Linked DNA regions of Saccharomyces cerevisiae S288C. The protein of the gene in region 1 binds, or shares a complex with, the protein of each later gene. Each region holds a gene or a part of one and is shown on either strand. Other genes may lie near its edges. The genes, in order: COX6 and COX9. A codon is read from its position in the direction of its gene.

The links.
Region 2: the proteins of COX6 (region 1) and COX9 are in contact, whole or in part, in a cryo-EM structure (PDB 7Z10), measured with the Saccharomyces cerevisiae proteins. Residues at the interface, in NP_011918.1 of Saccharomyces cerevisiae: Phe49 (codon at 3,957), Asp80 (codon at 4,050), Leu81 (codon at 4,053), Val82 (codon at 4,056), Pro85 (codon at 4,065), Glu116 (codon at 4,158), Gln120 (codon at 4,170), Ala123 (codon at 4,179), Tyr124 (codon at 4,182), Glu127 (codon at 4,191); in NP_010216.1 of Saccharomyces cerevisiae: Thr2 (codon at 4,766), Ile3 (codon at 4,769), Pro5 (codon at 4,775), Ile6 (codon at 4,778), Thr7 (codon at 4,781), Gly8 (codon at 4,784), Thr9 (codon at 4,787), Ile10 (codon at 4,790), Lys11 (codon at 4,793).

What each region holds. Positions count from the first base shown.
Region 1 is NC_001140.6:205,893-212,212, forward strand, and holds COX6 (cytochrome c oxidase subunit VI), read left to right. Parts: upstream 1-3,812; coding exon 3,813-4,259; downstream 4,260-6,320. Other genes in the region: YHK8 (Yhk8p), read left to right, coding at 1-259; FSH1 (putative serine hydrolase), read left to right, coding at 570-1,301; divalent metal ion transporter SMF2, read left to right, coding at 1,762-3,411; YHR050W-A (uncharacterized protein), read left to right, coding at 3,583-3,753; CIC1 (Cic1p), read left to right, coding at 4,956-6,086. UniProt on the Saccharomyces cerevisiae protein: Component of the cytochrome c oxidase, the last enzyme in the mitochondrial electron transport chain which drives oxidative phosphorylation.
Region 2 is NC_001136.10:333,022-339,158, reverse strand, and holds COX9 (cytochrome c oxidase subunit VIIa), read left to right. Parts: upstream 1-4,762; coding exon 4,763-4,942; downstream 4,943-6,137. Other genes in the region: SYO1 (Syo1p), read left to right, coding at 1-887; E2 SUMO-conjugating protein UBC9, read right to left, coding at 1,089-1,524, 1,635-1,672; PEX19 (Pex19p), read left to right, coding at 1,882-2,910; isocitrate dehydrogenase (NADP(+)) IDP1, read right to left, coding at 3,038-4,324; CBS1 (Cbs1p), read left to right, coding at 5,349-6,038. UniProt on the Saccharomyces cerevisiae protein: Component of the cytochrome c oxidase, the last enzyme in the mitochondrial electron transport chain which drives oxidative phosphorylation.

The DNA.
Region 1 (6,320 bases):
CTTTACCGGTGTTTTTGCGTATACAGTGGATGCCTATAGAAGATATGCAGCTTCTGGAATGGCTTGTAACACATTTGTGAGATGCATAATGGCCGGTGTCTTCCCTCTTTTCGGACTCCAGATGTACAAGTCAATGGGAGTGAATTGGGCCGGCTTTCTCTTGGCAATGGTGACCGTAGCGATGATTCCTGTCCCATTTCTGTTTACCAAATACGGTGCCCGACTGAGAGCCAAGTCGCCGTATGCATGGGATGATTGATTTTTTTGCATATTTTTTCCTTTGGATGTTGCATAATCTTTTCCCGCTTACGTCATTGGTGATAGATTGTTTCGGATCTTCAAAAGGCAACACGCATAGGCCAAAGAAAAAAGAAATTTTGCATTTTTTCATTTTTGCATATTCTCGCATGTTTTCTTTCTTTTTCTCTAGTTTTCGAATGTTTTTGGCTGCAATGTATATTGTATATAAACCATAAAGGTGCAAAATGCCAGATGTACGCGGCCAATCTTAATTTTCTAGTAAAAGTAGCAGCTAAATCTGAAACTCTCTAGCTTGTAATAAACGAAGGATGACTGTACAAATTCCAAAATTATTATTTTTACACGGCTTCTTGCAAAACGGTAAAGTTTTCTCCGAAAAATCATCTGGTATTAGAAAATTATTGAAGAAGGCTAATGTCCAATGTGACTATATTGATGCACCAGTCCTTTTAGAAAAGAAGGACTTGCCATTTGAAATGGATGATGAAAAATGGCAAGCCACCCTAGATGCGGATGTTAACAGAGCCTGGTTCTATCACAGCGAAATCTCTCACGAATTGGATATCTCAGAAGGTTTGAAGTCTGTTGTTGATCACATCAAGGCCAATGGCCCATACGACGGCATTGTCGGTTTCTCTCAAGGTGCCGCATTGTCCTCTATCATCACCAACAAGATCTCAGAGTTAGTTCCAGACCATCCACAATTCAAGGTAAGTGTAGTCATTTCCGGCTATTCCTTCACCGAGCCAGACCCAGAACATCCTGGAGAATTGAGAATAACCGAAAAATTCAGAGACTCATTTGCGGTAAAACCAGACATGAAGACCAAGATGATCTTCATCTATGGTGCTTCTGACCAAGCCGTCCCATCCGTCAGATCCAAGTACCTGTACGATATTTATTTGAAGGCGCAAAATGGTAATAAGGAAAAGGTGTTGGCTTACGAACACCCTGGTGGACATATGGTTCCAAACAAGAAGGACATTATCAGACCAATTGTTGAACAAATAACCTCTTCCTTACAAGAAGCTTCTGAATAAATCGTAGGTTGTTGCTTACCTGCTTTCTAGCTTTTTACTATCACACGCAGGGTGTGTGGAGTGAAATGCTGATCGAGTATGTATATATACATATAAGTACTTTGTATAGAATGAACCACAAGTTTGTAGCATCCTTTCTCTTCTCTTCCATCCTGCGTGCTGCTAACCCCGCCCGGCGCGAAAAATCCACCCGGGGTGCTTTAGCGTGGCTTACGAAGACCTTTTTAAACATACTTATACTCTTTCTCGAAGGAAGAAAATAATGCAGAAGAGAAACAGCAGAAAAAAAAGAAATCATATTAAATTTCAGAATCAGTCTCCTTTTGCTTCTAGTCATTTAACCATCAAACGCGTTTAACCGTTTAGAAAACCCTCTTCAACAACTATTTGTTTTGATACTAATATTAGCACATCTCTATTGCCATTTAACCACTAATTTTCCGTATAGCGTTTATGTTTGATGACGTCCCAAGAATATGAACCTATTCAATGGAGCGATGAATCCCAAACAAATAATGATAGTGTCAACGATGCGTATGCCGACGTGAATACCACTCATGAGTCGCGTCGAAGAACAACTTTGCAGCCAAACTCAACATCCCAGAGCATGATCGGAACATTGAGAAAATATGCTAGGTTCATCGGTCCTGGTTTGATGGTATCTGTATCGTACATGGATCCTGGTAACTATAGTACAGCTGTAGCAGCGGGTTCTGCTCATCGGTACAAGCTTTTATTTTCTGTCTTAGTTTCTAATTTCATGGCTGCTTTTTGGCAGTACCTCTGCGCCAGATTGGGTGCTGTCACTGGCCTAGATCTGGCACAAAATTGTAAGAAACATTTGCCCTTTGGACTTAACATTACTCTTTATATTCTGGCGGAGATGGCAATTATTGCCACAGATCTGGCAGAAGTGGTAGGAACCGCTATTTCTTTGAATATCCTTTTCCATATACCTCTCGCCCTAGGTGTGATACTTACTGTGGTAGACGTTTTAATTGTTCTGCTAGCTTACAAACCTAACGGTTCCATGAAGGGTATCAGAATATTTGAAGCTTTTGTTTCTTTATTGGTGGTTCTTACCGTAGTTTGCTTTACTGTTGAACTGTTTTATGCCAAACTGGGACCTGCCAAAGAAATATTTTCTGGGTTCTTACCCAGTAAAGCCGTTTTTGAAGGTGATGGGTTATACTTAAGTCTGGCAATTCTGGGCGCCACGGTAATGCCTCATTCATTATATTTGGGGTCAGGTGTGGTTCAACCAAGATTAAGAGAGTATGATATCAAAAACGGACATTACTTGCCAGACGCGAATGATATGGATAACAATCACGATAATTACAGGCCATCCTATGAGGCCATCAGTGAAACTCTGCACTTTACTATAACGGAATTACTGATCTCGCTGTTCACGGTGGCATTATTTGTCAATTGTGCCATTCTTATCGTGTCTGGCGCTACACTATACGGGTCCACTCAAAATGCTGAGGAAGCTGACTTATTTTCTATTTACAACTTACTCTGTAGTACTCTTTCCAAGGGAGCGGGAACGGTATTCGTGCTGGCATTGTTGTTTTCAGGACAGAGTGCCGGTATCGTGTGTACGTTGAGTGGACAAATGGTTAGTGAAGGGTTCTTAAATTGGACTGTTTCTCCGGCATTGAGAAGATCCGCCACAAGAGCGGTAGCCATCACGCCTTGTTTGATTTTAGTGCTTGTAGCTGGACGTAGCGGCCTCTCTGGTGCACTAAATGCTTCCCAAGTGGTACTTTCTCTCTTGCTGCCTTTTGTTTCTGCACCTTTACTTTACTTCACTTCAAGCAAGAAGATTATGCGTGTACAGCTTAACCGTACCAAAGAACTTTCAAGAACTACAGACAAAAAACCCGTGGCCGACCGAACCGAAGATGATGAGACCATTGAGCTCGAAGAAATGGGCATAGGCAGCAGCTCACAGGAGCGCAGCTTAGTTTCTCCTGCTCCAGAATACAAAGACATGAGCAATGGAATGATCGTCACCGTGCTCGCAATCATAGTATGGTTGATTATCTCCGGACTGAACTTTTATATGTTACTGGGCTTTACTACGGGCAAAGAAGTACACCTCTAATATAACAATTCTTTAGACTAGTATAAGTATACATTTTATCCAAGAATAATAACAGAAAATTCCAATCAAAAAGTTGGTGTTAGGCTATACTGATGGCCGTATCGCTCCATACGAGCCAATCAGGGCCCCGCGCGTTATTTCCGCCGCTTACAGCTTTCTTTGAATCTCCCTATGAAAAGGGACCTAATTGGTCCGGTCAAAGCATTAATAAAGATCAACAATTGCTCTTGCTTATCAAGGTGCCAGATCTCAAGGTTACCTCATTTCTTTACATTTCATCCACATTTTAGCACACTTATTTATTATTACAATTTGAAAAATTGTATCACTTCTGAGACTTAGTAGCGGAGATAAACAGCCGAACAATTGTATTTGACACATAAACTAATAAATATACAACAATGTTATCAAGGGCCATATTCAGAAATCCAGTTATAAATAGAACTTTATTGAGAGCCAGACCTGGTGCTTATCATGCAACTAGATTGACTAAAAATACGTTTATTCAAAGTAGGAAGTATTCTGACGCACATGATGAAGAAACCTTTGAGGAATTCACCGCAAGATACGAAAAGGAGTTTGATGAAGCCTATGATTTGTTTGAAGTGCAAAGAGTGCTCAACAACTGTTTTTCCTATGATTTAGTTCCTGCTCCTGCTGTTATTGAAAAAGCTTTGAGGGCTGCCAGAAGAGTCAATGACTTACCTACCGCAATTAGAGTATTTGAGGCTTTGAAATACAAGGTGGAGAATGAAGACCAATACAAGGCCTACTTGGATGAATTGAAGGATGTCAGACAAGAATTGGGCGTTCCCTTAAAGGAAGAGCTATTTCCAAGCTCTTCTTAATAATAAGGAAAAAGCTACCACACAACGTCTGTAATTTGTTGTCCTTTTTTTATTTGTGGAAAATTCCTCAATTTGAAATAAGATTCGTATTTATTTTGTAAAACGATTTTAGTTTTTATTTTTTTTTTTTCTTCCCTTTTACCTTATTATTTGTTTTACCCTTTATGGATATTCATCCACTCAGAAACTAATATATCAAAATCAACGATAAGATCACAAGAGGTGAAATAAGAAAAGTAAAAGAAAAATATTTAAATTTAACCATTATGATTTCCACTTTGTTTTCTCTACTCTATTACTTGAACAAACTTTATTTTTGGTAATGAGGGCTGGTCACAGATTACCTTTAATATCCTTTGTTAGTAGCTTTTTTGTGTTCTATTTCAGGAAAGAAGAATGGGAAAAATAATAAAACAATAAATAACTATATAAAAAACAAAAACCTAGAATATACCATTAAAGAATTACTATTCTATTCTGTGCTTCACCGTTGCGTCAATAAATGTGAAGTTGATGTCACTTCATACTAAAAAAATTAAAGACAATTTCCTGAAAAAAATTTTTCCACTGGAGCTCATCGCAAATTTTGAAAAGTAACAAAAAGCGTTTGTATACTGCATAAAGAATAGTGTCTGTTTTATAAGAAATATTAGACAGCAGGCAGATAAACCTACGTTCCAGACTATAAAGTATAAAATGGCTAAAAAGAGTAACTCAAAGAAATCTACGCCTGTAAGTACACCAAGCAAAGAAAAGAAGAAGGTTATTGAAAAGAAATCTTCCACAGCCATTCCTAGGGAAAGAGTTATTAAAGCTGTCAACGAGCTTATAAAATTCACTTCCAAGCCACAAGATGAAAATAATGAAGAAGGAAATAACGGTAAGAAAAACCTATTGGAAGATGATGAAGAAGAATTGAAGAAAGATCTGCAATTAATCGTAGTAAATAATAAATCATTCACCGGTACTTCCAAATCATTCAAATTGAAATTACTAAATGTCAAACATTCGTTTTACAAGCCTTGGAAAGAAGCCAGTGCAACAGCGGTTAAGGATTTCAAAGTTTTATTAATTTTGAAGGATTCTGATATTAAGAAAGTTTCAGAAGATGATTTATTTGATCAATTAGATTCAGAAGGAATCAAGGTTGATGAAATCATTTGCGGGAAAGACTTAAAGACCGTTTACAAGGCATATGAGGCTAGAAACGCTTTTATATCTCAGTTTTCTTTGATTTTGGCTGACGACAGTATAGTTACATCTTTGCCAAAACTTATGGGAGGCAAAGCCTACAACAAAGTAGAAACTACTCCTATATCAATTAGAACACATGCAAATAAGGAATTTTCCTTGACCACTTTGACGAACAATATCAAAAAGGTTTACATGAATCAGTTGCCCGTTAAACTTCCAAGAGGTACCACGTTGAATGTCCATTTGGGTAATTTAGAATGGTTAAGGCCAGAAGAGTTTGTAGATAACGTTGAATTAATTTCTGAACAGTTAATCAAAGCATACCAAATCAGATCCATTTTTATCAAGACCAATAGGTCGCCCGTATTGCCATTATACTATAACCAGGACGTTCTTGATGAACTTGAAGCTAAAAAGGACAAAATCGAAGAAACCCACGAAGATGACATGGTCACCATTGATGGTGTACAAGTTCATTTGTCTACCTTCAACAAGGGTTTGATGGAAATCGCCAATCCTTCCGAATTGGGTTCAATTTTCTCTAAACAAATTAACAATGCAAAAAAGAGATCTTCTAGCGAGCTTGAAAAAGAATCTAGCGAGTCAGAAGCTGTCAAGAAGGCTAAAAGTTAATTTGTTTCCTCCTTATCTATCTTTTCTCTCATTTTTTTCTTGTGAAGAAAAAAATTTGAATTTCATAGAGTGCGGTGCATATGTATATATCTATATATGTTTGAAGTGTATATTAAAAATAAAGTCATTATTTGAATATTGGTTTCTCGGTCTAAGAGCTTATACGTTTTAGACTGATCTGTTGTACTATCCGCTTCAAATAAATAGATCATTGAAAGTGACGGGGATAACAGC
Region 2 (6,137 bases), on another chromosome or scaffold:
CTAAGATCAAGGATTACAATGCGAAACGTAACGAATCCATGATAAAATTGCAAAGCATTGAAATAGCAATTGATCTTATCACCGCAATCATTGAGATAGTTGCATCCAAATATGAATCACCAGAATCACAGGAAGTAGCAATTCCAGAGGAGCTAATCAATACCTTAACAAATTTCTTACCTCACGTTTTCATGATTTTGAAAGATACCTTCACCTCGCGAATATTGATCGGATGGAACAATCTGATCTGGCTCTTTGTGTCTCTATCTCTAACAGAGCTCTCTGGAGAGTTGTTAACCACCTTATGGAGTTATGTTACACAGTTGGACAGCCAAGATGATTTGAGTATTAAAATAGGAAGAATGGGCTGTATTTGGGCGCTTCTGAAACTCATCTTTCCTGATGGAGCGTTTGAAAGTGAGAATCGAGCATTGATCAATGTCCAAATGCTGAACAATTCAGGATTCGCTAGGGGAATTATTGAAGAGTTCCAAAATAATAATGACCTTGAGTTACAACAAAAATGTATTAATGTACTAAGCACATATGCTATGATTCAGGGACAAATTGATGCAAATAAGGAGATTGGGCAGTTCTTCATACAAACTTTAACACAGTTGAATGTTCGCCCTGAAATTTTGATAGAAATGACAAATTCGCTTTTCCAAATTTACGGGGATGCCTCTTACGACTATAATGAACCAATATTTGTAAGGGGTGGATTTTTATCTATTCTAAAAGACCAAGTTGTACCAAATTTGAGGCAGCAATTCAAAATGGTTGATAAAAACAAAAATCCCGAACTAAAAGAAAGATGCCATGATTGCTTTACTACGTTGGATAGTTTCATTCACTACAAAATGAATGAAAATTCTACTAACCAATAGATTTATTAAAGTGTATATAGTTGCCATACTTATAGAAAATGGTACAAAAAATATCTTTCTATTTACTTAGCATAAGAAACAAAGAGCAAAAAATTATTTTTGAGAATTTGTAAATAATGTTATTTTGCTCTATTTTTGTTACACAACGACATTAGTTAAATAAAGTACAAAAGGAGGAAGAATGGGAAAGATGGATTCCCTCTATTTAGAGTACTGTTTAGCTTGAAGCAAAACTTTCTTGTCATATTCCGCCTTATTTCTTGAAAATGATCTCCATGCAGGCTCTTGAGCAGGGGAATTTGGATTTGGAGAGTCTAAAAGATCCTGAACCCCAAGAACAATTTGTTTTAACGTGATGGCGGGTCTCCAATCTTGATCTTCATTTAAAATACTTAAACATATTGTGCCACTTGGATACACGTTTGGATGATAAAATCCGGCTGGAAATTTAACCTTTGGAGGTTTTGAAGGATATTCATTTGGATATTCGACTGTAATTGGGTACACACCACCCGCCCAGTTTGTACCTTCTTTGCCTGGGATACCAGCTTCCCATTTCTGTAAATCCATGGACCCATCAGCTTTCTTAACTGGTTTGGCATAAAATCCAAATGGATGATCCTTTCTCCATTTTTTTCTGTTATTCAAGTAAAACAAGTTAAGTTCATCGATTTGTTAGTATACCGCTGGATGAAATTGTGTATGCCTACAGAATGTAAGCATAAAAGGAGGAAAACTACTACTTACCTTTCTTCCTGAAGACGCTGTAGACACAAACTACTCATATTGCTTCCAAAAAATGGTGCCAGTGTGTGCTTATCCTATGCTAAATTTCTCTTCTTTTTTTAAATGTTTGTTATGGAGACAGGAATAATTTTTAATTTCCAGATGTTAAACGCGGTTTCTGAGAGATATAAAGTGAAGAAAGAATTACAAATTGTGGGAACCGAAGTATTGACGGAAAGAAGAAATGCCAAACATACAACACGAAGTAATGAATGAAAACGAGTACGATAATTTTGATGATTTGGATGACCTTTTAGATGAAGATCCCACTAAACTGGATGAAGCAGAGCCCGATGATGTGCAAGCGAAGGGTTCTGTGTACAACGATAGTGAAAACAAAGAGAAGAATGCCGAAAGTAAGGACAGTGATGGCGTACAGGTAGCTAATGAATCTGAAGAGGACCCAGAATTGAAAGAAATGATGGTAGATTTGCAAAATGAGTTCGCAAATTTGATGAAAAATAACGGTAACGAGAATAATGTGAAGACAGAAGATTTTAATAAACTGATTAGTGCTCTAGAAGAGGCAGCTAAAGTACCTCATCAACAGATGGAGCAAGGATGTAGTAGTTTGAAAAGTAACAGCACTGATAAAGGGACCGTGAATGGTAGCAATCCGGGATTTAAAAACATTGTTTCCAATACGCTAGACAGGTTAAAGGAAAATGGTAATAAAGTTGATACATCCCTAGCCGAAGAAACCAAGGAATCTCAACGCAGTGGCCAAAATAATAATATTGATGATATATTGTCACAATTATTAGATCAAATGGTAGCATCTGGTGGAAAAGAAAGTGCAGAAAATCAATTTGATCTAAAAGATGGGGAGATGGACGACGCAATAACAAAAATACTTGATCAAATGACGTCAAAAGAAGTATTATATGAGCCTATGAAAGAAATGCGTAGTGAGTTCGGTGTTTGGTTTCAAGAAAACGGTGAAAATGAAGAGCATAAGGAAAAGATAGGCACCTACAAGAGGCAATTTAATATCGTAGACGAAATTGTAAATATTTATGAATTGAAAGATTATGACGAGCTAAAGCATAAAGATCGTGTTACTGAACTTTTGGACGAATTAGAACAGCTTGGTGATAGCCCTATTAGAAGTGCGAACAGCCCCCTAAAACACGGTAATGAAGAAGAAGAACTCATGAAAATGTTGGAAATTGATGGTAATGATCCGAACTTGGGGAACCTTGATAAGGAATTAACCGACGGTTGCAAACAACAATAAGGTATATATATTTATGATAACAGTAAAAAAAAAAAAAAAAAAGTAGTTCATTATCCTAGAGCATAACTAAGTATAACACTTTAAAAAATGAAAAAAAAAAGTGGTAGATTGGGCTACGTAAATTCGATTACTCGATCGACTTGATTTCTTTTTGTAGTCTTTTTTCAACGGCATCCAAAAATTCTTCTGTGGTAACATAAGCAGATCTTTCGTTGTTACCGCAAGCCAAAGCCAAGTCCTTCGTCATGATACCGTCTTGCTGAACTGTGTTCAAAGTGGCGGATTCCAAAATATTGGCAAATTTACACAAAGCAGGAGTATTGTCCAATTCACCTCTCTTCAATAGACCTCTCGACCACGCGAAAATGGATGCAATGGAGTTTGTAGAAGTTTCTTCACCCTTTTGGTACTTTCTATAATGTCTTGTCACGGTACCATGAGCAGCTTCACTTTCGAAAGTTTTACCGTCTGGTGTAACTAAGATAGAAGTCATCAAACCTAAGGAGCCAAATCCTTGAGCGACGATGTCAGATTGGACATCACCGTCATAGTTCTTTAGCGCCATGATAAAGCCACCTTTAGATTTTATCATTTGAGCGACCATATCATCAATTAAACGGTGTTCATAGTGGATCCCTAGTTGTTCGAATTTGGATTTATATTGAGCTTCATAAACTTCTTGGAAAATGTCTTTGAACCGACCGTCATATTTCTTCAAAATAGTGTTCTTGGTTGACAAGAAAAGATTTAGCTTTTTGTCAATGGCCAGCTTGAAAGACGAATGAGCAAACCCTTCGATGGATTCGTCAGTATTGTACATGGCCATGGCCACACCACTGCCCTTGTAGTCATACACTTTCAAAGTTTGTGGTTGAGCAGTCGTAGGGTCGGATGGCTTGTAGACCAGTTCCAAAGATCCTGGGCCTGGGATCAGTGTGTCCGTAGCTTTATATTGATCACCGTGGGCGTGTCTTCCAATAATGATTGGTTTTTCCCAACGTGGGACCAGTCTAGGAATTCTAGGAATCACAATGGGCTCTCTGAACACTGTACCGCCGAGAATGTTTCTGATGGTACCATTAGGAGATTTCCACATCTTGTGCAGGTTGAATTCCTTCACACGAGCTTCATCAGGAGTGATGGTGGCACATTTGATACCAACACCATACTTCTTGATCGCCTCAGCAGCATCCTGAGTAATCTTGTCGGAGGTGGCGTCACGAGATTCGACAGATAAGTCGTAGTACTTCAAATCTACGTCCAAGTAGGGTAGAATCAATTTCTTCTTGATCTTATCCCAAATGATACGGGTCATTTCATCACCGTCCAACTCGACAACGGGTTGTTTGACCTTAATCTTACTGAAAGCAGCAAGGCGAGAGGTGGAAAATAATCTTCTAGATAACATACTCATGCTGGGCGATCTTCCTTGTGCGTCTGTTGTCTCACAATTGCTTGAAGGAAGATTTCATAAGATCATATGAGTCCCTCTTTATATGGGCAAGTGGAATTATGTGAGTCAAAATCCGCGCGTGACCCGTAAAGCGTTATCAGAAGGTGCAAACGGTGCTATTTAGCTCATAAAAGGAATGATTCAAGCTCTTTTGGATTGTAAGACACCTTTATTTAGTCCAAGATCATTGCAGACCCTTGTTATGGTCTTTAGCAGAGTCCTCCTCTATATCTCTTCATTTACTGCAACCTGATTGGCCCGCTACCACGATGCCCGCTTTGTTCCTGTGGTATTAAAAGAATCGATGAAAGAGACTCTTATCTTCAGGGAAAATTAGGACCGAGAATTAGAGCAAGCAAGATATTTGCAAACTACTAACTACAAGCGACTTACACAGACATGACTATTGCTCCAATTACTGGTACGATCAAGAGAAGAGTCATCATGGACATCGTCCTCGGGTTCTCCCTCGGGGGTGTCATGGCCTCTTACTGGTGGTGGGGATTCCACATGGATAAGATTAACAAGAGAGAGAAGTTCTACGCAGAGCTAGCTGAGAGGAAAAAGCAAGAGAACTGACCGAACCTGACCACTATTGTTTTTCGCATTATATTCTTATTCCTATTTATTTATCTTTTATTTTTTTTCTGTGCTGGCCTCGATTGATTACTTTTGCAAGAGTTTGTAGGGAAGGAAAACAGACAAGTCATTCTTTTCTTTCTTTTTGACCTTTATCATAATTTTCTATTTGTATAATTTGAAAAAATAGTTTTACATATTTATGTAGTGTCAAACTAAAATAAAAACAAACTTAAAAAAAGAGTTATAGAAAATGTATGTGGAGAATAAGACAGGCAGACCTTGAGTGAACTAGGAATAGTACAATATTACCTTTAGGAGGTGCCACGTACTACCCCTTTGCTTCTATTCTTCTATGGTTTCTTTATAGCAGGATAAAAGAATAAATCAGATAATGAATCTCGACATGTTGAGGACAAAAGTGTTTGCAACTACTGTTGCTCGAATATCTGGGATTCGCAGGTATATTCCCATCAGAACTATAAACACGGTGACGAAAAAGAATATTAGTAAGATAGAAAAACTGTGTGAAGTCCTTGAAGTTAATCCTGACGGATATAAAGGAAAGGAACGCATACCGACTAAAGAACTAACTAAACTGCTATATACCACAAGCAGGAATATGTTGGTACGAGTACCAATGACTGGAGACTTGAGCACAGGAAATACATTTGAAACAAGAAACGAAACTTTACAAAAATTGGGTGAACAGCTCATTCACTTGGAAATTAATAAGATGCTTACAATAACATTTACGAATTTCAATCAGTTTAATATAATGAACAAAAACTTCAATTACATTCATAACTTAGATCGAGCTCGAGTAGTGAACATGGACTCGATAAGCTGGCTTATCAAGAATTCGTTGAAAATTAACCAATTAGCTCATTTGCGAATACCTGCCAATTTGCCGAAGGAAATGGGATTAACTTCCAGCTCTAATGATTTTCAGAACTTGAACGATTGGAAAGTGATCTTATCCTTTATTGGTTACCTGAAATTACTCGAAATTAAAAACGATAACAAAAAATTCATTGAATCAATTATAAAAACTATATGCATACCTCTAATTAATTACCATTTGCGTAAATCATAGTACAAAAGAAACGATGCCTTTTTGTCCGTTATCCCTTTGTTTTATTTACAATAAGTACGTAAAAACAATTATTTCTTATTTTTGTTTATAATGTTACAA